Linked DNA regions of Struthio camelus. The protein of the gene in region 2 purifies or fractionates together with the protein of the main gene of each other region. This does not show direct contact. Links are inferred from orthologs where the notes say so. Each region holds a gene or a part of one and is shown on either strand. Other genes may lie near its edges.

The links. Proteins that work in one complex are often made in the same cells at the same time.
Region 1: the proteins of RMND5A (region 2) and GID4 purify together in Homo sapiens (affinity purification with mass spectrometry; 4 studies listed by BioGRID and IntAct, counting the BioPlex papers as one, with this or other methods). This does not show direct contact. The link is inferred for Struthio camelus from reciprocal best matches to the Homo sapiens genes RMND5A and GID4.
Region 3: the proteins of RMND5A (region 2) and MKLN1 purify together in Homo sapiens (affinity purification with mass spectrometry; 4 studies listed by BioGRID and IntAct, counting the BioPlex papers as one, with this or other methods). This does not show direct contact. The link is inferred for Struthio camelus from reciprocal best matches to the Homo sapiens genes RMND5A and MKLN1.

The regions. Positions count from the first base shown.
Region 1 is NC_090956.1:3,742,788-3,750,461, forward strand, and holds the start of GID4 (glucose-induced degradation protein 4 homolog), read right to left. Parts: upstream 3,070-7,674; 5' UTR 3,040-3,069; coding exon 2,815-3,039; intron 477-2,814; coding exon 417-476; intron 1-416. Other genes in the region: ATPAF2 (ATP synthase mitochondrial F1 complex assembly factor 2), read left to right, coding at 3,536-3,662, 5,977-6,021, 6,300-6,445, 7,296-7,393.
Region 2 is NC_090945.1:80,788,573-80,796,428, reverse strand, and holds the start of RMND5A (E3 ubiquitin-protein transferase RMND5A), read right to left. Parts: upstream 3,010-7,856; 5' UTR 2,870-3,009; coding exon 2,728-2,869; exon of another isoform or gene 2,057-2,727; intron 1-2,056.
Region 3 is NC_090942.1:4,288,639-4,295,653, forward strand, and holds the start of MKLN1 (muskelin), read right to left. Parts: upstream 3,070-7,015; 5' UTR 2,978-3,069; coding exon 2,886-2,977; intron 1-2,885. UniProt on the Homo sapiens protein: Component of the CTLH E3 ubiquitin-protein ligase complex that selectively accepts ubiquitin from UBE2H and mediates ubiquitination and subsequent proteasomal degradation of the transcription factor HBP1.

The DNA of each region.
Region 1 (7,674 bases), on a different chromosome or scaffold from region 2:
ATGAGAACCCGCATAAGATAATGCTCACAATGTCCAACACCATAAGGAGATCTTAGTGGATGGGCATGGAAGGAAGGACTTAAAGATCTGACTTGTTTGTTTTATTTTCTTTTAGCAACACACCACCACTGGTAGAGTATCTAAAGCTGACTTCAAGGTCAGATTCCTGTTCCACTCAGAGCTCAAGAGACACCAGATAAGCCTCCTGCATTCTCTCAGGACTCCCAGCGAGGCCCCTGATACTAGCTTTACACTCCAAGAACAACAGATTGAAGCTATTAGACTACCTAGTGGTCAAATTTACCGTATACTTGATCCCTCCATCCTCTATTTCTGGTGGCAACTTCTCCCCCTACCAGGAAAAAGGAAAGCCTTTAAACAACACCTTTTCTTATGGTTTTGCAATAAACACTCACCTCTGTAAGGCCTTTAATCTTCAAGTATCCACAGAGATAGGAGTTTTCCATATCCACATGCTAGAAGAGAGTGCAAAGTCCTAACATAAGCATGTGCATGAAGGCACCCAATGGATCCAAAACAGTTTCTAAACCTGTGGTCCTCCAACACTCAATTCTGCTTAAACTGGTACTGACTGTCCAGCTTACTGCACAATGTTCACACTGACATCCCCTTTCCCAAGGCTGGAAACAACTTGGACAGATCCTTTTAGAAGTGCCCAGCTCACTTCTGACAGCCTCCACGTCCCAGGCCTGACGACACCTCACCCACTTTCAGCTTCTTCAAACTGAGGCAGCATCTTCTGTCTGGAGGTCTCCAGAGGGAGTAAATCCCCCTTCTCTACCAAGAAGGAACTTGACTCCCAGTTTTCTCAAAGGGAGAGAGTATCACTGGCAGAATCTCTAACACACCCAGCCCTCACCTACCCCAGCCAAACCAGCAACCAAGAGGGGGAAGGGCAAAAAGCATATTTTTACCCAAGACAATTCAGGCTAGAGGAAGAAAGCATCACCCTGAACTTTCCAGTCCACCTATTTAACAGGCCTGAGCCACCTCCTCTCTAACACGCTAGTCTGTACGCTCAGCCTAGTACCCAGGACTGGTGTGCCCCGTCACACACCAAAGCCTGTTCAAAACAGATGTCTCGTGTGTTTTGAAGAGGCCCTTCTCCCAGATCTAACGCTTTCATGTCACCCTTCTTTGAGTTACTTGGCTGCATCTTGCCTCTTCTGCTATGCAGAAACTAGGTAGGGGGCTGCTTCTATTCTGAATGCCTTTAAAGTAAGAAGACTTTCCAAGTTTTTCCCCCCCAACATCTCCAGATGAGTTTTCAAAGCAAGAACTGAGCTATTTTGGGAAGTGTATACATCAGCTATAAGAAGATGGATCTTCCCCACCTGTGATCAAAGAGAAGCAACATTTTCCTGTACTCAGCAGGGGAAGAGCAGATAGCCACCTCTTCTCAGCTGACACGCGCAAAACAGTAGCAATTTTAGCACAAAGCTATAGCCAGTCTCTGGAACAAGGCAGCGTGCAGTGAAGCTGATCAGCCATGGGATGTCTCTACAAGAGCAAGCTGCACCAGGGACACTTGTGCTGTTGACAAGCGGGGGACCATATGTGAAAAGAGACAGTATGGATAAAATGCTACCCCATCTGTTGACCTTGGGACTCTCACGTTACTCCACAACACTGACCCATGCATCAGTCTTTATCACTGCACTTGTTACAAGCTGCCAGGGTCCCACAGATCCTATGCCACCAAGTTGGGAACAAAGCCGTGACCTGCAGAGCACTTTATAGGAAAGCGTGCACCATATGTCTGGCTTGCCTATTTATTAGTAACCCCACACCTCGCCAGCTCTACCTTAAGCAATCATACCAATGTCTAGGACTAAAATTAAAGCACAGGAGGAGACCAAGACCGCAAAAAGGAAAGGGAAAGCTATACCAGCCAGTGCCCTGATTCCCCAGCACACCTGGGTCCAGGCACGTTCCCACTAGAAACAAACCACTGTGCTTTGCCTCAGGCTCCCTGCTCAGCCTGGGATCCTGGGGAAGCATAGGGCACCACAAGGAGGGATCCTTGGGATCTCAGGTCCAGCAGAGCCCTGCTCTGCTAGCCAGGACCTGGATCCCTACTGCTTTCCAGCCAGGCCTGAAATACAGGCTGCCTCGCTGGTATTGACTCCTTGGGACACCACCCACTTTAAGCCAGCCTTTTGCCTATCCTCCCTGGGGCCCAGGGGAGCAGGGCCAGCCCAGGGCTTGAGGGCAATGGGGGAGACATCCAGGATCACAGACCTCAGCAGAGCTGAGGGCAATAGGGCAAGGGAGTGAAGCGAACAGACCCAAGGAAAATGAGGCCACAGTGGTGGGAGGTGGAGCAGAAGAAACAGGCCTGAGGGTAACAGGGCAAAAAGGGGGAGGGGGGGAAGAAACAGGCCTGAGGGTAACAGGGCCAAAGAGGGGGAGGGGAGAAGAAACAGGCCCTGAGGGTAACAGGGCCAAAGAGGGGGAGGGAGAAGAAACAGGCCCTGAGGGTAACAGGGCAAAAAGGGGGAGGGGGGGAAGAAACAGGCCTGAGGGTAACAGGGCCAAAGAGGGGGGGAGAGAGGAGAAACAGGCCTGAGGGTAATGGGACAAAAGGGGGGAGGCGAGGGGAGCCCGAGCTGAGCGCAACGGGGCAAAGCAGGAGGCCAGGCCTGAGGGTAGCGGCCCCTCGCCGGGGCCCGAGGGGGAAGGGAGCAGGGAGGCGGCCCCGGGCCGGAGGGACGGGGTCCCCCGGCGGTTGGGGGCCGCTCGCAGGCCCGGCCAGGCCCGGGGCAGGGGAAGGGAGGCCGGCCGGCCCCTCACCTGCATGACCACCTCCACCTCGTAGGCGTTACCCTTGCTGCGCTGCTGCCCGCGGAACTTGGCGCCGCTGTAGAGCAGCGAGGTGGCCACGCCGGGCTGCGCCGTGTTGATGGGGGGCGGCGGCACCAGGCTGCTGGCGGCCGCCCCGGACGACGGCGACGAGGCCGAACCCGCCGCCGCCGCCGCTGCCCCGCCCGCGCGGCACCGCTCGCTCCGCACCGGCATCTCGGGCGGGTCCCCGGGCGCCAGCGTGGCCGGGGCTGCGCGCGGCCGGGGGCGCCGGCCCGGTCGCCCCCCCCCCTCCTCCCGCCCGCCCCTCACGCTGCGCCGCCGCCGCCGAGGCCGCCGCTCCTGCCTGGCTCAGGGCCTCCCGGCAGCGCCTCCGCGCGCTCCCATTGGCCCTCGCGGGTGCTGCGGGAGGGGCGGCGCCGAGCCGCTATTGGCCGCCGGCGCGGGGCACGTGCCCCTCTCCCAGCAGGCGCGGCCGCGGGCGCTCCTGGGAAGTGTAGTTTTCCTCCCTCCCTCCGCCGTCTCCCCGCAGGACGGGGCGGCCGAAGGGGCAAAACGCGTTCGCGGTGCGGATTGGCTCCCGCGGCGGGCAGCATGGCGGCGCCCGCGGAGCCGCGCTGAGGCGGACGGTGGCGACAGCGGCGGCGACTGCTCCGCGGTTCCCGGCGAGCGCCGCACGGCCGTTGAGTGCCTCCCGCCTCCTCTCGCCGCGATGTGGCGCGGCTGCCGGCGGCTGCTGCCCGGGCGCTGCTCGCCGGCCCGGCGCCCCGGCCCGCCTCCTGCCGCCGGTGGGGCTGCGGTGGGGCCGGGCGGGGGCCGGGCCTACGCCCCGCCGGCAGGTGAGGGCGGACGGGCCCCTCGGGGGCTTCGGGGCTCCCTCTTGGGGGGTCTGGCGGGCCCCTCTGTTTGGGAGAGCCCGTTCCCTCCTCCGCTGCGGGGGGGAGGGGGTCCTCCCGATGGGACCCCCTTCCCCCCCCCTCCCCGGGCCCTGGAGGGCGACTTCCCTCAAGGTCACCCCGGAGCCCTCGCCAGCAGGACGAGTCAAACAGATGGAAAGCGATAAAACTCTCCGCGAGGAGGCTAACGAGCGTTCAAGCACACCCCTCGCCGGGTCTGGGGCTCCTTAAGCCTTTTTAGGTGCTGAGGTGACAGGGCCCCACACGCCGGGCCTCCCCCTGCTCCTATGCCCTGGCTTCAGCAGGGCTGTCACTGACAGCAGGGCTAAGCCCTTGGTGTATTGGTTTGTTATGGTTGCTATTGTGGTTTTGGTGGGTGTTAAGACTTTGTTGGGGGGGGGGGGGGAGCACTCCAGGTGTGGTTCAGGCACACATTGGGCTGTGAGTCACCTCTGCAGGTCTTGCTGGAAAGGTGTAGATATGAGGACGGTAACATTAGTTTTGTTGCCTATGAGAGGAGGCTGCAGGTTTTCAGGACATATATCCTGGGGCTCTTTGGCATCTCAGTGAAATGTCTTCTCTTCGGTACGTGTATGTGAATCTTTTCAAAACTGTGCCCTAATAATTTGGCATTTTTTGAGGCCATGAAACTAGAGTTGGGTCAGCCTGAGCAGATCCTCTTCTGTTTCACTGGTGCTCTGTAGAGGTGTGGGAACGTGCTCGTATGGAGTGGCACAGAAAACAGACCTGCAGCTCAACCTGTTTGCATTACTGTTCAGGAGGTATAGATTTAGGGATTCAGGATTTATGGTCCTGTTGCTCTTGTCCGGGGAATGGTTTGCAGATTCTTCCTGCTTTGAGTGAGAGATGAACCTGTGAAACATCCATTCCCATGCAGTCCAGGCTCTCAGATGTCTGCTGGGAGTGTACGCAACAGTATTGCTACGAAAGGAGGCTGCTTGTAAAACAGTTGTAATTCCCTCAGATTCACCTTGCTGGTAGAGCAGGCTTTCTCCTGAGCAGAGCAGGAGCTGCCAGCGTGGGATGCGTAGGCTGGAGGGAGCCGAGGGAGTGGTTCCTCCCCTGGTGACTCATTTGTATGCTGCAATGTGCATGATGTCCCCAGCATGATCCAGCTGCTATGACATTGCAGGCTACTCTCCTGCAGGATGTCATCCAAGGTGAGAGATGGGGACTGCTGATTGCATGTAGCTCCTGTAACAAACCCACTCCTGTGGGTGACCGTGGTAGAGGGAGCTGTGCCAAAACCCCCGGTGGGGTGCAGTATCTTGCCCCATGCTCTCTGAGCGTGCTGGGAGCTGTAGTTTTTGCTGATGCAGACAGCCGCATCCCTCCATGTGGTGCATCAGCTGCAGGTGGCGGGTCAAAGCAGAGAATGAGCTAAATTCACTGCAGGAGATTGCGTGGGCTGGAACTGTGTGGGTTTGGAGTTGGCAGGGGTGGCAAGGGACACTGCTGGGGCCTGCCCTGCCTTGTGATTCAGTTCTGCTGGGTTTCTTGTCACTCTGAATTGGAACAAGCTGGGAGAGGGAGTTAGCCAAGGCAGTCCAGGAAATTAATTTGTCAAACATGATTGTAATCAGGGAATTTTGAAAGACTGAGCCCAGAGTGAAACTCCATATGGACTGGGGAGGAATGACAAGATAGGTCCGCTTTAGAAACCTCCCCTGCCAGACTCTGTAGAAACCTGCTGAGGGTGAGTTGGAATGGAGCTGAGATCCCAGCCCTGGGTGGCAGAAGCAAAGAAAAGCTGGGCCCATTCACTTGCTGGTTGTGCACAGCAACACTCCCACCGGTTTCATGATGCTTCCCCAGTGGAGAGGAGCTCACTGAAATGATGTGGTGCTTGGAAGCTGTCTGCAAAAAACACTTCAGAGTGCAGTCTATGGCAGTGCCATATTTTTCTCCCTCCCTCCTTCCCCCAACAAAACTCTTGAGGCCAGGACTTCTCCCCCCCTCCCCCCACCATGTGCAGAACTAGACTGGGGAGAGGCTCTTTTGCCTGGGCACAGGCAGTGGCTAGGGGGTTGCCTGGTCCTCTTCTGGCGAGAGGCTCCCTGCAGGCCCCCAGGCTCAGGGTGTGGATGAACGAGCGAGACCTTGTGACAAGAGGCCAGGCCATCTGGGCCTCGACACCACCGAGGGCTCCATCTGTTTTAAGCTGTAGTGGGAATCAGGGGAGGGGACTGAACTTTGCTCTGACTGCCCTTTGAATGGCTCTTGTTTTTGCCCCCAGAAAGGAAGCGGTTTTACCAGAACGTTAGCATCTCGCAAGGAGAAGGTAAGCGTGGCCACTGGGAGAGGAAGGAAGGACTGGGAGGAGGTGTTGGTCCCTGGGGAGGGGGTTATCACTGCTTCCTTAGCAAGACAGTGGCACACCTGCAACCCGTGTCATATGAGTGGGATATTTGTCACCAGCCTGCTTTGTCCTTTCCTCATTTCTAGCTAAACCATGTGGCTGGATTCCAGCTCTGAATCTGCTCCCTCTGTGGGGTTGTCTGTTGTTCCTTAGGGCATGCTCCTCTTTAATTCCCCAGGATTTCTACTCTGATTCTCCAGGAGGCTTTGAAATAAACCTGGACCACCGGAAGCTGAAAACGCCCCAGGCGAAGCTCTTCACTGTTCCCAGCGAGGCCTTGGCTATTGCAGTGGCAACAGAGTGGGACTCCCAGAAGGACACCATCAAGTTCTACACTATGCACCTGGTGAGCACAGCAGGCCGGGGTGCCCAGATGGCTGCACCGCTGCAGCACCTCAGAGGAGCAGAACGAGGTGTGCTTGGAGCAGTCAGAACAAGGAATGTGGGATTCACGGGAGGGACTCGGAATGCTAGGGGCTGAAGAAGGGTTAGCCAGGCCCGCTGGGACCTGCTGAGGGTTTCGCCAGCTGGCAGAACGGATACCAGGGCAAGGTTTAAGAACCAGTTTGGGATGTAAGCCGTGCTCTGGAGCGAATAAGATGAGGGCAGCTCCTGAAAATGTTTCCTTTTGCATCCTTCCTCCCACAGCTTTTCTGAGTATTTGCAGTAGAACTGAGATGGCTGGGTCTAAAACTGAAGTGACTGTGTAGATATGAGAATGGTCTCCGAGTGCAGAACATGGAGGAAGCAGATTGTCCTAATGCCAAAGGAAATGGGAACAAGAGATCAGGACCTTAGTTGTACACTGAGGAGAACCTTGCAGCTCCGTGGGCAGTTAGATGCTGCCGGGGTTACTGCCAGGGAGGGGAATCTGCCTCACGGAGGAGTTTGAGAAGGGGCTGGGCAGCATTATAAGGGATGGCATGGGGAGGGGGTGGAGGAGACTGGATGAGCTCTGGAGCAGTCTTGGAGCCCTCTGCTCTTGGTTTGGTGAGCCTGCCCCAGCAGCATCTGAGGCCAATGAGAAGAATCCTATTGCATGAGCCAAGCTCTGGCTCTGCATTCCCCTCTAGCTGAGCTCCTCAGTTCCCTCAACTTATCCTGAATTCCTCCACTTCTGCTTAGCCTTGTGCTATGGAAGCTAGTGCTTCCCCATGCCTTGAATAACAGTGGTTTGTATTGCTTTTATCCTACAGACCACATTGTGCAACACAGCTTTGGACAATCCTACTCAGCGAAACAAAGTACAGCTGATCTGTGCAGCTGTGAAGTTCCTGGAGACTGACACTGTCTGGTAGGAGACCGTCAGGGACCCTCTACTGGAGAGGCTGGGCTATCTTATTGCAGTGTGGTTTAGGAAAGGTGCCTGGAGGATTCAAATATGACAGGAGGGAAATGTCTACTGTAACTGAGTCCTTGCAGGGCTCTCACCTGTCCTGGTTTTGGCCCAAGGGTTTGAATTAGTTGAGGCCAGCCCTACCTTTGCAAACCTGGTGGATCTCCACGAACTTAAAGGGTACAGGTATGAGGGAGAAAAGGGACCAGGCATTCTGTTGATCTCTGTTTTGGGCACCT
Region 2 (7,856 bases):
CTCTTTGTTACTATTTTATTATGACAGACATTTAAAAATCACATAAATGATTGTAAAGAACTGTCTGGCCAGAAATTATGACTTCTGCCAAGACAAAATAACGAGAGATTACACAACAAAAAATCCAAACACTCATTCCACTAGTCTGTATTGCCCAATAAACAGAGATGTCCAAATAGATTCTCTTGGTAGTCATTTTTTGCTTGAAAAGCCATTAAGCCAAAATCCAGCGTATGTCCAGTCAAATCTAGGCAACTTAAATGCATAGGTATTTTTGGCAAACAAGTAAGTGGATTATTCTCCCCTAAAACTTGCTGTAGCAGAAACTAACTACAGCAAAACAATGAAAATGTCCACAAGAAAAGCTATCAGATTCCTAAGAGAAAAGATTTTCCCCTTGTACATATCTCTTTCAGCTTTACACTCAGAAGTTATTTGTAATAAATCAGCAGAAGAAAGCCTGTGAATAGTCTTTTTAGTAATTCAGTGTTCGCAGAATACTACAGAACAATTAGCTTCTCACTGCATTGTGCATCACAGTCATAATCTAAAAGAAAATACATTAGCAATCGGACGCTAGGCACAGAGTAGAGTTCAAAGCCAAGCTTAGTCAGCCAGACACATGTTTATACCATCCAAGAAGAATAAACAATATTGCCTTGACTACTCAGGGAGATTAAATATATTAGGGAAAGAGAGCAGAAAAACAAAGTTTCTCTTCCTAATCAGTCGCTTTAACATAGGAGTATTTTGCATTTAGACTTTGTTATAGAAACAACTCAAGAAATTTCAAGAGACTATGAGTGGGGAAAAGAAAATCAGTGTTTAGAGGATGAAGCAGCTTCTAACAGTTTCTTTTTCTCCACCCACTTCCTTTTCATATCCACTGCCTATTTAAAGGTCTTTACATACAACCTTGCTCTCACCTCTTGTCCTACAACATGATTTTCTTCTTCAGTAGTACGGTTTTTCTTTTTTTTTTTTTAATTATATACATAAGCATATTTTAGCACTTCTGACCCCTGAACTATGAAGCTTCACATTAAGAGGCCTGGCTGCTTCCACTTCTGCTCATTTTCTAAAATATTCAGGATATAGCATATAATAGCTGCAAATATCTGGTTTTATTAGAAAGTTTTAAATAACATGTTAAAGAAAAAATAAGAATTTTGCCATCCGTGAAGACAGCTTACCCTCAGATGGCAAAAGTTAATAGGGTCTCTAAATGGGCGTACACGTAACACATTAGTTTCATTGTAGAGTACTGACTAAAACAAAGCTCCAGTTGGCATGCATTCTCCTGGGATGGCATCACCACTGATTTCATAAGCACCGAAAACATGTCTGGGGCCTTCACGAAACAGTCCCCAAAACTGTTAACCCAAGTCTGCAGGGAAGACACAGGGAGCACCCCGGAGGGACTGCGCACTTTTCATTTTTTTATGGAGAGTGTAAGCTCTGGATCTGCAACAGGATTCTTGTGGGCAAATCTTTGCAGCACCACAGAGGCCTGTGAAGATCAGTGCAAGCATGAGGGCCACGCCACACATCCTTCCAGGCAAGGGCAGCACCTCGGTGTGTGAAGACACACATCCTATCGACTGTCCTTAATGCACAAACCTAAACTGTGTTGGATAGAAAAAATAGTAAAATCAAGTCAAATCAAATAATGCCCCAAAAAGATTAAGTGTTCCTTCATCCCCTCCCAAAACGCCTCAGAACTGGCACTCCACATTTACTGTTGGTGTAAATTGCTGGGTACACACAGCAGCTCTAATATATTTGTTGCTACGTTCCTGGAATTAAGTGCACTTCCAAGCAAGCTTCGCACCTGTATTTCTACAGGACTAAGACAAACACAGTTTTCTCCGAACTGAACAAAAGCAGATCGCAGAAACCGGTGAAGCGGCACAGTTTGCTGTCAGGTTTGGGCTTAGGAGCCCGGGAGTTCCAGTTTAAAATCCCCGAGCCGTGGCTCGCTTCCTACACAGCCTGGGGTAAACCGCTCGGGCTGCCTCCCCGTTCCCTCCCGCTCCGTCGAGAAACGCTGCGTTACCTCTGTCCGGGGCATTTGGCAAAGCTGAAGCGGCCCCGTGTTTAAAGCTCACGCCTCAGAGAGCTCACTCACCCGCCAGCACTAGCCGTAAAAAAAAAAAAAAAAACCAAAAAAAAACAAAAAAAAACCTGCACGGCCAAAACTTGGGAGGCTGCGCTTACGCTCAGCTCCAGAGCGGCTTCGCCCTGAGCGCTCCCCAAGCTAGCCACGACTAAAGCAAACAACGGAGCGGCTGCGGAAGTAACGACGAGGAAAACAAGGACAGCCAGCACAACGCTGCCATCCATCCGTCTGTCCGTCCATCCGTGCTGGCCCCGTCGCCGCTCAGCAGGAAGGGGCAGGAGATGCCTCAAGCAGCAAGGACAGGCAAGGCCCTGCTCCTGCTACAACTTCCCCCCACCACACACACACCCCAAAAGTGTCACCCTTAAAGATAAATAAATAGATAAAAGAAAGAAAGAGTGGGACACCGGGGGGGGGGGGGGCTGCTCAGGCCCCGCACAGCGGCCGGGACCCCCTCGGGGCCGCCGCACCAGGCCGCTCGCCGCCGGCCCGCGGTGAAGTTTCGCCGCTGGCGTTTCCCGGCCCGGTGAAGGGAGCGGGGGGGACGGGACGGGCCCGGTGCGGCGGGGGGACCGGGGAGGAGGCGGGGGGGGGGGGTCTGCACCTACTCTCGCTCTGCAGGATCTCGCGGCGCAGCCCGCCCGCGTACTGGATGAGCTCCTCCAGGCTGCGCTCGCAGAGCTGCCCGTAGCCCGAGAACTTCTGCAGCACCTTCTCCAGCTCCCGCTCCACCGTCACGCACTGGTCCATAGCGGCCGCCGCCGCCGCCGGGCCCCGCTCCTCCGCCGCCGCCGCCGCCGGGCACCGGGCCCCACTCCGCCGCCGCTGGTTCCCCCCCCCACTGCCCCCCGATCCTGCCCGGCCCTCGCCGCCCTCCGGCAGCACCGCCCGGCCCGCGGAAGGGCCCCGCTCGCCTCCCGCCGCGCTCGCAACTTCCCGCTCCTCTCCGGTGACGGCGGCGGCGGCGGCCGTCGCGCAGGCAGCGCCGCGGGCAGCCCGGGGGCCTCGGCGGCGCTCGGCGCAGGCAGAGCAACGGGCAGCCCGGGGGCCTCCCGGCGGGCCGCCAAGGGCGGGGCGGTGAGTGTTGGTCAGGCAACGCCGCGGACAGCCCCGGAAGGGCCTCGCCCCCCGCCGCGATGGGGGGAGTGAGTTGCCCCTCTCGAGCCGGCGGAGGCCTCAGCAGCGCGGGCCTCTAGGCTCCCCCCTTAGGCAGCCCGCGGGGCGGGCGCTGAGAATAACAGTCTAGGGCGAGGGGGGTCCTCAAAGTGCCGTGTTACGACTCAGGCAGTAAGGTAGGCAGCTAAGAGCGGGGTCCTGCGGGTGCCGTTGCCATGGTGACAGGCGCGGCCCGCGGGGCCCTGATGTGCGGCCCAGACCGGGCCGCACCGGCGGCTCCTCGGGCCGTGGCGGAGGGGGCCGAGGGGTCTCCTGCGCCGTGGGGCGCCGCCGGCTGGGGCTGGTCCCTTAGGTGTAACTTAGCCCCCGTGCTGAGGTGAAAATCGCCGGGCAGCAGCCCGTCGCGGCGGGAGCGGAGCTCCGCGGGGGCCGGGGGCAAGGCCCTTCCCCACCGCCCCCAGCCTTGCACTGCTACGTACCGCCGAGAGGCTTGGAGCGGGGTCAGTGCTTCATTAACAATCCTGGCGGGCCGGAAACGGAGGATTTAGGCTGTCATTAGGGCACTAGCTTGGCCAGCAAACTTCCTCTTGAGTGTTGAGTCTCGTGGGTTAAAGTCCTGCAGCCGACTGATGAGCGCGGTTGAAAGAGATGCATGCCCCTGTTTGCTTGAGTATCGCTTGGTTGGCGTACTTGTGGCAACTTCAGTGTTTGGAAAGTGTAGCACAAACCAGACCGTGGCCCCACGGTTTCTGTAGCGCAGTACATCAAAACCTCCTGCTCAACTAGACAAAACTACCTGCAAAAACAGCACTTGGTCTGAGCCTGGAGTGATGTTGTGTCGTCTGTGCCCGTGTAAAGTACTGCTGAAATAGGATAAGAAAATAGAGAAATCTGTATTCTCTTGCAAGAGCACGTGATTTGTGTAGATGCCTACAAGTGGCTGTCATTCTGTTGGATTCAGACCAAGACTGCTGCCCTTGTTTGTAGTCTTATTCTTTATGTAACCATATGTGATGTTTAAAGCCATGCAAATATCATCTTGGGTTTTATGTCATTAGCATGCTGGTTTGATTTGTTACGTTCTTCACCACTGTATTCTCCTTTGTCTTCTGTTAGCATAGGCAAGCAAGTTCACTTTTTTTTTTTTTGTCATTAAACAAAACCTATGTCTTTTGCAGGGAGCAGTAAATGGATTCTCACTGTTAGAAAAAAGAAAATATTACCTGCTTCAAAAAAAATGATCCTTTATTTCAAGATTTAATTAATCCATTTTGCTCCTGTATATTGGTTTGGCCTTGATACGTGTTCAGTTTCTGTGACATTGACTACTGCGTATTTGAAGGCAAGGGAACTTGCCACGGGACGGGGAAGAGTGACTCTCAGCTACAACTAATAAAATGCTTGACTAGATAAAGCTTTGAGCAACCTGGTCTGGTGACATAGCTGGCCCTGCTTTTTGAGCAGGCGGCTGGACTGCGTGACCTCCTGGCATCCCTTCCATCCTGAATTATTCTATGATTCATTACTAGATCATGTAAGGAGTGCCTCATTTAAATAGCTAGTGCTTTAGTTGAGCTGTCAAATCTTGGCCATCATGCTGCAAAATAACATCTACGTGTTAAATCTGTGTCCTTTTGGCCACTTGTAGATAATAGGAAACACCTTACAGTTTCTCCACATGTAATAAAATAGTGTTATTTGGCTGCTGCCATTTTGCTTTGAGACTCTCACACGCACTTACTGGCTGTTTTGAATAATATCAGTTAATGACAAGTAGGCAGGGTGTCATATAATGTATACAATTTGTGGCAATGCACCTATATTGTAGAAAAAGTACATCAAGGGATAGTATGTGAGTGAGCTCCTAACAATTACACTTACAGAGCAGGCTGACTCTTAGGAAAACTGGTTTCAGATAGTCTAAATGTTAGTTTGCTCAAATTTATCTTGTTGTATGTCAATATTAAAACCGTGCAAGAAGAGGGTATGATAGTATTTAACTTGGCAAGGGATTTAACTTGGTAAGGGACTGACTTACAATTTTCAGTTTCAATGTTATGGACTTCAAAATGACAGCCCTTCTTTCAGTGTTCCCTGTATAAGACTGAGTCTAGGAAGTGGATTATTGCCTGTATTTCCAGGCTGCGGAGTCAGCAACTGCCCGTCAGGAAGGATGGGGGAGGAGAGGGAATCCTTGCCATTTATCAAGGGGCAGCTGAGGCTTCAAATTTGGCCCTCTGACAAGAAAAGATGGTTGTCCCATTTCTCAGGATTTGGTCTCGTTCTCTGGTAAATCATAGTAAAATATTTTTGCTGCCAAGATTGTTTAAAAGCAAATCCCTGCTTCAGGTTTATGTTTAAGGGTAGGACTTACATACTTCATTCTCTTCACGTTTGTAAGACTGCTCTATGAGCATCGGACTGACTGTCTGATGGCTGTTTAATATCGTTAATTAGGTTGAGTTAACACTGGGGTCTTTAAAAATGTCAGCATCTTTCTTGTTTGCCTTCAGCCCAAATGAGTTTTCAATTCACTGTTCTCTGCATTTCCAGATAATTAAAATCCCTGAAAACGTGTTTGCAGCTGACACGTCAAAGACATTCGGAGTTCCAGCTAGAAACCAAGAAATGCCGGTTGCGTCTAGAACATCATGGCCAGTTCAGGTGGGGTCAGTTTAATAAGTCAGGGATGCGAAGGTGGGGAGAAAAAAGAGGATGAGAGAGTCTGGGAGAGGAGAATTGTTTTAGGAGGTCTTTCTCACTGTACTCAAATATGAGTCCGAGGAAGAAAATCCAAGCCTCTGTTAATATGTCAACATTTTCTGGTTTGTTTGAGCAGAGCCCTCAGTGCTGTGGGAAAGTCTCCTAGGCACCAGTGTTTTAGCACAGAGGCCCCAGGTCTGCTGCTCAGCTTTCCTAGCAATAATCCTTTTCTCTTCCAGGCTTTTGGTTAACTCACCTGCAGTGGCCAGTTCCTGGTCATACCAGTGCCCAGTATGCTTTCCATTTGCGGCTGTGCCCCTATTCATCATTGCTTTCTGTTGCCCCTTTGCCTCTGTGTTCATAGCTGCTTTGCTTTTGGTTGTTTGGGGGGCTTTTGAACAGTGGTTTGAAACATACTTTTTACTTTCTTGAAGTTACTCCAGGGTTTTGAGTTTTGGCAGATGATTAGCTTAGTATCTGCAGGGGACTCATCATCACTTACCACTGGGGAATGTTAGGAACTGATTTAACTCAGCCCATGAGCATTAGGAAATGACATATTGGTGACAGCCTCCCCAGCAGTTGGTGTTGCAAATAATTTTGCTGTGAGTGTAGACTATTAATTGTTGCTAGGTGCTTTCCAGCTGGAGGAAGCCAGACTATCACTAAGCACAGCACACAGCCTGAAGCAATAAGGGGAAGGAGGGGATACAACAAAGTGATTGGGTGGAGAAGGGTCTACAGCTTCTCGTGTTAAAAACAAAATGCTTTTTTTCTTTTTTAACTCAACACACAAAGTTTCTCTGCAAACATTTAACTCCGTATCTTCCTCCCACCCAGCACTCCACTTATTCTTGAGCTGCTCACTTGAAACAAAAAGTACAGAAATCAGGCAGCTTCTTGTGTGTGTCACAGAAGAAAGGGGTCTTCATGAAGCTTTTAGAAGAGAAGAAAAATGTGGTTTTCTTGGTGTGTTTTCAATACTTGAGAGCCTTCCTTTGGTCCTAGCGACAGGTGATGTTGAGTGTGCTTTTTATTGAAAGTACTTTGGCTCTTCGAACAGTAAGAACAAAACCGTTCTCAGTTTTGTTTTGGCCAAGGGGAAAGGATTAATCCTAGTGAGGTGGCCGCTTTCATATTAGGGAGATGGCCACTTACTCCGTTGAAGAGGGAGCTTATGCAGCTTTAATGTACTATGAAGGAGGAGGCAGCGCTTCAGCCCTGTCCTCCCACAAGCTCTTCCTGTCGACTGTTCCTCCAGTACGTTGTCCTCACGCTGCACTTCCCACAAGAGGCTCGCTTCAAATCAGAGTGAACTGATGAAATCAGTTTGCATTTAATTAAGCAGCATCAGCAGAGCTGGGTTTTGCAGTCCACCCTCTCCGCCTTTAATTTTTACTGCACCACATAAAAAAGGTATGGAGAATAAGGGTTGAGATAGCTCCTGATATGAGGCACAAAATTTACACGCCCCCAAGGGCTTGGTTGGTGGGCAGCTGCTTCTACAATCTCTCTCCTCTTCCACTTTCCAGAAAACAAACTGCACTGGGTCCGTTGCAGAAGAAAATAGCGTCCCGAATTTTCCTCTTGAAGAGGCAACGGCTGTGCACGAACGTGCAATACCAGGCAGGCTGAACCTGCATCCCACTCTGCCCAAATCTTAGGCTGGATAGGTTAGGGCACGGAAAGACAAAGGGAAAGGATAGAGTTCTTATTCCTCTTCTAGAACTGTTGACATTTTGCCTTTTTTTTTTTTTCCTTTTCTTTAAATCATACCACCCTATAAATGTGTTTAACAGTTCTGAGGAGTTTGGCTATGTAAATGCTTTCTCTCTCCAGGTCAATTTTAATGTTATCTTTTAAAAATGTGATTTTTATACCCTGGTGCGGAATTACTTAAGCCCGTACACTCTGTGGG
Region 3 (7,015 bases), on a different chromosome or scaffold from region 2:
TTTTATGGAAAAGAACGCTTAATAGGTGATTTCACAGCGGTCTGTAGACCGGAACACATGGGTCAGCAGCAGGTTTCAGATATGCAGATCCCCTAAAGAGCACAGAGGAAAAATTTTTATTTCATAGCTTTGTTTTACATTTAAAGCTATATAAGTATTTAAGAAGTGTGTTTAAATTGCACTTAGCTTACGCGGAACACGGGTAAGCTATTTTGTTCCTCTTCCAAAACACATTTTGCTAGCAACAGTGCAGCAGTAGTAAGCATGCTCCCAATGACAAGCGATATCATCATAGCAGTAGTGTATTCCTGCACATATTATGGCAGAAGTCCCTTTCGTGGAAGTGGTTTCTTCCTACTTAGGCTTGTAAACAAACTTATTTAAACTATGGTGTAACCAGAATTCCTAGTCCCCCTTCACAAAAGCATAACTTTTCATCTGTGTATTAAAGACCAAGAAAACTTCTAGCTGCAGCTGTATAGTCATCCTGCAGCACGGATTTCCATCAGCACTCCCTCCTCTATTTTCCCCCTGTATGTTTTCTCTACAATTTTTTTTCTCCTTTTGAGAATCTAATCTTAAGTCCCAGGTCAGAACCTTCCCCCTCCATTTCAGGTGGCATTTAAGTTCTCTCCCAGAATACGAGAGAGGCAAAATTAGCAGACATCAAGCAAAAAAACAAAGTTTCATAAGGGGCACTCTCCTCATGACATTATCCAATATTTTCACTACAGGCCAGAAGAAAGCACATAAATATTAGAAACGACACCCCCTGGATGAAGGTCAGTATGCTACACAATAACCCCACAGCTGGAATTATTGAACACAGCTTAAAACTTGTTCCAGTTATTTCTATTGGTGATAAGCTCTTCTAAACACTGTCTTAAAAACAGTCACACGCAAGGTCATACACTTGTAAAACACCAACCATATTACAGAAAAGGGAATTGTATCATGGAAGGCAATGACATTAAGGTCTTTGGGCAGCACTGCAGATACCATGTCGGCATTAATTCCTCACAAATCTGTGGCAAAAGGACTAACGGGAACCTTGGAAAGGAGTATCAAGGAGAAAGACACTTTTATCTTTTTATATTGCATCAGGAAGATCAATAATGGACTGTCGCCCTCCCATTCAGGGACCAAGTTTTAATACAATGCTGGAAGCCAGAGACACTGCTGAAAAACTACAAGAACGATCCCAGTCCTGAAAGAAATGCCTTTCTGTGCAAGTTAAGTCTTTTCAAGAAGGAAAAGGCAGAGTGATGACTTAGTTCTCACCAAAGGCTAACAATGAGAAAAGAGGTCCAAGTCTTCTCCATACTTAACCCAGCAAAGGTATAAAGAGATGCAACGACTAAAGTTGTAGCCAGAAAAGCTTTTGGCAACGAACTTCCTTTTAGATTACAGAGATAATTCATGAAATTAATCAAAATATAATCAAAAGTGAGAAAGGTGTCTTGTTGAAAGGTGTCTTTAAGTCCTCTAGCCCCAATCGAAGGTTATAAATTTCAATGCAATCGGGAGCCAAAGCTCTGCGGCAGCCTGCAACGACCAAAGTGTCCCAAGAGTGTATTTTTAACCCCGCTCCTGCTCTCCAGCGCGGAGGACAACACGCCGACAAGCACACCTCTAGATTGTACCCCGGCCATCCCCAATTTTAATATCAGCAAGTCGAAAGGAGACTGCCTCACACCCACGGCGACACGGGATCCCGGGATGGGACTCCGGCGGAGCATGAGCCCTCCCCTGCCACGCACCCTGCCCGCCCCACACCTGGGGGGGGGGGGCCACCCCCTCCCACCCCGCTCGCAGGCCATACAAAACGGACCCCCTCCCACAAGCGAGGGATAGGCCCTCCGCCCCCCCCAAAACCTGCTTGTCAGCCCCTACCCCACAGGCTGCCTTATCTAATTAACATCGATGGTCCGCCCCTCCCCCCATGGCCTGCCCCCCCAGACCTGCTGTCCCCCCCACATCTGCTCACCCACACCTCCCCCACTCGCAGACCCCTCCCAGACTCGCCCCTCCCCCACTCGCTGACCCCCCGACTCGCCCCTCCCCCACTCACTGACCCCCTCACATGCCCCCCCACTCGCTGACCCCCCGACTCGCCCCTCCCCCACTTACTGACCCCTCACATGCCCCTCCCCCACTCGCTGACCCCCCCGACTCGCCCCTCCCCCACTTACTGACCCCTCACATGCCCCTCCCCCACTCGCTGACCCCCCCGACTCGCCCCTCCCCCACTTACTGACCCCTCTCACATGCCCCTCCCCCCACTCGCTGACCCCCCTCAGACTCACCCGTCCCCTCAGACCCCTCCCCCACTCACTGACCCCCCCAGACTCGCCCCTCCCCCATCCCAAACCCCCCAGACTCGCCCCTCCCCCATCCCAGACCCCTCTCACCCGCCCCTCCCCCACTCGCTGACCCCCCCCGACTCGCCCCCCAGACCCCTCCCTCATCCGCCCCTCCCCCATTCGCAGCCCCCAGACTCGCCCCTCCCCCACTCGCTGCCCCCCCCACACACTCGCCCCTCCCCCAGACCTCTCCCACCCCTCCCCCACTCGCCGACCCCCCCCACACTCGCCCCTCCTCCCCAAACCCCCTCACCCGCCCATCCCCCACTCGCTGAGCCCCCCCCCGCCGGGGGCCCCCTCCCCCACCCCCTGCTCCCCCCGGACCCGCTCCCCCCCTCCTCCACCCACCGCCCTTCCCCCTCCCCACGGCCAGGAGCCCGCGCCGCCCCGCAGCCCCCCCCCCGCGGCGGCCACAGCGGCCCGGCCGCTGCCGCAGCGCCGCCCTCGCCGCGCAGGCCGGCGGGGCGCGGGGGGGTGACAGGAGGGAAGGGGGGGGCAGGGGGGTCGGCCGGCGGCACTCACTCGGGCAGGTAGGTGGAGGAGAAGCTGCTCCAGCGGTGCAGGGTGTAGCCCAGCACACGGCTCTCGGGGCCCGCCGGCCCTGCCGCCGCCATCTTGTTGTCGGCAGCGGCCGCCGCGGCGCCCGGCAGCGGCCGCCAGGGGCGGGGCGGGGCCCGCGCGCTTAAAGGGGCCGCGCGGCCGGGGCGGGGCCGGGCCGCGCCAGGCGGCGTCTAGGCCGCGGCCGTGAGGGGGCCGCGCCGGCGCGAGTGGGCGGCGTGGGCCGCTCTGGGGGGCCACCTAGGCCGCGGGTGCCATGGAGGCCACGCGGGCTATCGGTCACGAGGCGGGAGTGGGGCCACTCGGGGACATGCAGGTTGGGGGGCGCCAGGGGGGCCACGCGGGCCGCGGTCGTGAGTGGGGTATGGGGCATTCAGGGGGGGCCACGCAGGCCGAGGTCGTGAGTGGGGTGTATGGGGAGTGGTGTCCCCACGGGTGGCAGGCCACGCGGTGCATTGGGGGCCGTGAGGGCTGTGGGTCACGAGTGGGGTGTGGTGTCCCCAGTGGGGGTCTTCCAGGCCTTGCATAGGCTCTGGGGTCTCCCTGAGGTGTAATGGGGGAGCTGGGTCACTAGTGGGGTGCCTGGGCCTTGGGGTCCCCATGGGTGCCACGCCGTGGGGCACAGTGGGGGCCGTGGGTCACCAGTGGGGTGCCTAAGCCATAGACTGCCAGTGGGAGACGTGGGGGCCACACTATGGGGCACCGTGGGGGCCACGGGTCACCAGTGGGAGACGTGCCGCAGGACTAATTTTAAGGGCAGCCGTGGGGTTTTGGCGATTTTCACAGCAATTTATGGTGATCCCGGAGCTTCCTCCCCACCTTGAGGCTCATTTCGCCCTGGTGAAGAAGTTTCTTTTCCTTCTGTCCGCTTCTCCTCCGCGCTGGGCTCGGCGTTGCCCGAGCAACGGCAAGACATCCTTTTTACCCTTGTCGCTATGTTTTTGGGGACGGAATGATTCCTCCCTCATCTCTTGCGTGTCGTCTGTTTTCCTCCGCCAGTCAAAGCACCGCTGCATGGATTTAATTAGGCCGTGGTGTCTTCTTTTTCCATCCCAGAATAACTTAAAATTAGAGCCCGGCCCGTCAGACCGAAGCCGCTGGTACGTAGCGGGGAAAGGGGTCGAATAAAACCGGGGCGGGATTTTATGGCGCGCTGGCTCTCTAGCTGATATGTATCGTAAGTCAGCTTAGTCGTTCTCCCCTGCTCCGTTTTATTAGCTAAATGTTTGACTGTAACTTTTTCTACTGCAGAAGAAGCACCAAAAGGAAGAAACTTGTTTCGACACTTATTACGCCATGTTAAAATGCTGGGGTTTCATTTTTTCCAAAGATGGATTAAAGCAATTAAATATACATGACAGTAAATAGATAAAAAGTTAATAATAAGTAGAATTAAAGTTCGAACAATGATGTAAAATCGATTAAAGTAACCTTTCTTGCACGTCCGACGACACGAACGACGGAGCATCCCAAATGGTTTTGTGGAACAAACTAGCGGCAAATCATCCTCCGTGTTTTCACCGCCTTTTCATTCACTGCAGGCACGCGTTTGCAGGGTGGTTGTTTTTGTCTTTGCAGCGGATTCACTGGTGCGTGGACGGAGTCACTTGTTTTACCAATTGTCCCATTTGCAAGCGATTGGAAATGGAGCGTCGGGAGCTAAAATCAGTCAGAAGGATTTTTTTCCTTGTTTCTGGGCTTTTTTTCCCCCAGTCTGTACCGCAGCTTGCCTGCACGAAGCAGTGGCCTGCAGGGCCTTGCCATGGGAAAAAACACCGCCTGTTTCTCATGCCTCCTGCATCATCTGATTTAATAACTTGGCGGAGAGCTCTGCCCGCCCCTGCAGAGCCATCCCGGCTGGTAAAGTGGGTATTCCTTGACAGGTGTCTCCAGGAGGACTTGTTAAAGTTTTTTTCTGCATTTTAAATTATTTCTTTATTTTTCTTTTTTTAAGGGAGCCGCAGAAGGGAGATGGTTTCACCGACGGCGAGGTTAAGAGGGAAGGGGAAGGTTTGGGACATCGCTGCGACGCCTCTGGGCTGCTCAGGAAAGGAGGTATTTCAAGATAAAGATAAAAAAGCAAACAAACAGATGTCAGTTGGAAATGACAGATTGGAGAGTTATTATCAGGCAGGACAGAAAGATGCCTGAGTAGATTAAATTAACACAAGGATTTTTCCCCCTCCTCCTCTTATTTTAGGAGAGACAGTTGGAACACAGCAACGAAACCTGGCTGCGGATGAAAAATTCGCTCAGCGGCGTTGACGGCTGAACATCAACTGCATCGTTCAAAAGGTCTCCATGCCTTGACGAGACCCGTTCCCTGAGCGGGGACGCAGCGTTTTCCTTAGTATCAGCGCAGCTCTAGGACAGCGCAACAGTGGCCGTGCACCGAGTACAAACTTCTTCAGTCATTCTGGTAACGAGTGTGCAAGTTTGCAGCCTTCCTGTGGCGTTTAAGATTTCACTCATCGAGACTTCTGCTTGAGGACTTTTTTTTTAATTTTTTCTTTTCCCCCCACCCCCGGCTACTGCAGAGGTAATAGTTTATGAAGGATGTCGCTAATAAGATATTACCCGCTCCAGAATAAGAGATGCTATGTCATAACTGGGAGCCGAGAAGAGCTCTCGGCGATGCCGAAATCAAACCTGTGACCTCTGCGTACGCAACTTGCGGAACTAGGAGCAAACGGCAGGCGAGGGCCCCGCACCCGAGGAGGGAGCGTGGCGGAGGGGCTGCTGGCATGCAGCAGCAGACAAGCTCACGGCTCGACGTGAGGGTAAAACGCCCCCGGGAGCCACTTTGCCCAGGATCCCGTTACTGCTCCCCTCAAGACCTGGCCAGGCAGGACGCAGTAACCTACTCCCTGAGCCAGCTTATTTTTAGCACGTTTTTGACGAAAGGAATCGAACGCCAGTGAAATCCACTGCAGTGACAGTTCTGGAAAATCTTTACTCCTCCAGAGCACAGGATTGGGGCAGGAAGCGAAGAGGCTGCAAACCGCACTGGCAGACCTGTTCTCCCGGTTTTGGGGATCGGTCTGTCCGGCTGGTGGGAACGGGGAGAGCACCGCAGCTCTCCGAGCAGGCTTTGCGCGGCGGGAGGAGCACAGCGTGCCGAGGGCCAGAGTGACACATCCTTGGCCAGCCCACCGGCCTCCAGCTGAGCTCGCCACATCCTGCTCTGGGAGGCTGCCAGCGCTCGATCGCGGTGGCGTAAGAGGGACTCGGAAAACATGATTACTTGGACCCGCTCTCCTAGTCCATGGCCACGTTGTGCCAAGACAACGCCGCATCCATGGGACCTGATGGGTCCAGTGGCACCGCCGCTGCCCTGCACCGCCTCTGGCCACAGCTCAGACACGTGGCTTTGGAGAAGCTCATGAGAAACCCCAAAGAGGGCAGTTATGAAGCAACCAGCCTACAGAGGAGGCCTATTTCTGGCTCTGGAGGGGAAGTGAGATCTCTTCTAGCAGCAACAACAGGTCCCTGCGGCGTTTGGAGGGGCTGGACGGTGCCTGGGGCGGTAGCTGGAGTTGCCAGGAGAGGCCAGGGCGACCCCAAGAGATGTCGTCCGCGTTGCTTGGCCAGGACAATGCGCAAACGGGTGCGAATGCCAACATCACGCTCGTCGTCGAAAACCTTGAAACCCGACCGCGGACAGCTCGGGGATTTGACAGTTGTTTGTGGCTGCCTGGAGACAGACATTTTGCCTGCCGTCACAGACTCGCTCCACTGCTGCGTGTGTTTTGAGTTTCCTCCTGCACAAACCTGCGTGGGCGTTTGGGTATGTAATGAGCGCATAGTTCAGGATGAAAACAAGTTGCGTGGAAGAGCCAAGCAACGCCAAAAAAATGAAAGCAACACAAACAACAACATGGCACGCAGCCATACCAGCTAGACCGTGGGCCAGCCGGATCTCACGTACTCTCCGGAGCTGCAGAGCGGATCAGCTGTTGGAAAAGAGACCTTTAAAGACAAGCTGGAGGAAATAGCGTTGGCAGCGCAGGCCACCGCATATTTCCTTCCAGAGCAGGACAGAGCCAAGGACATTAGGCAGAGCTGTAACATTTGGGGTCTCGTTGCTCAGCCGT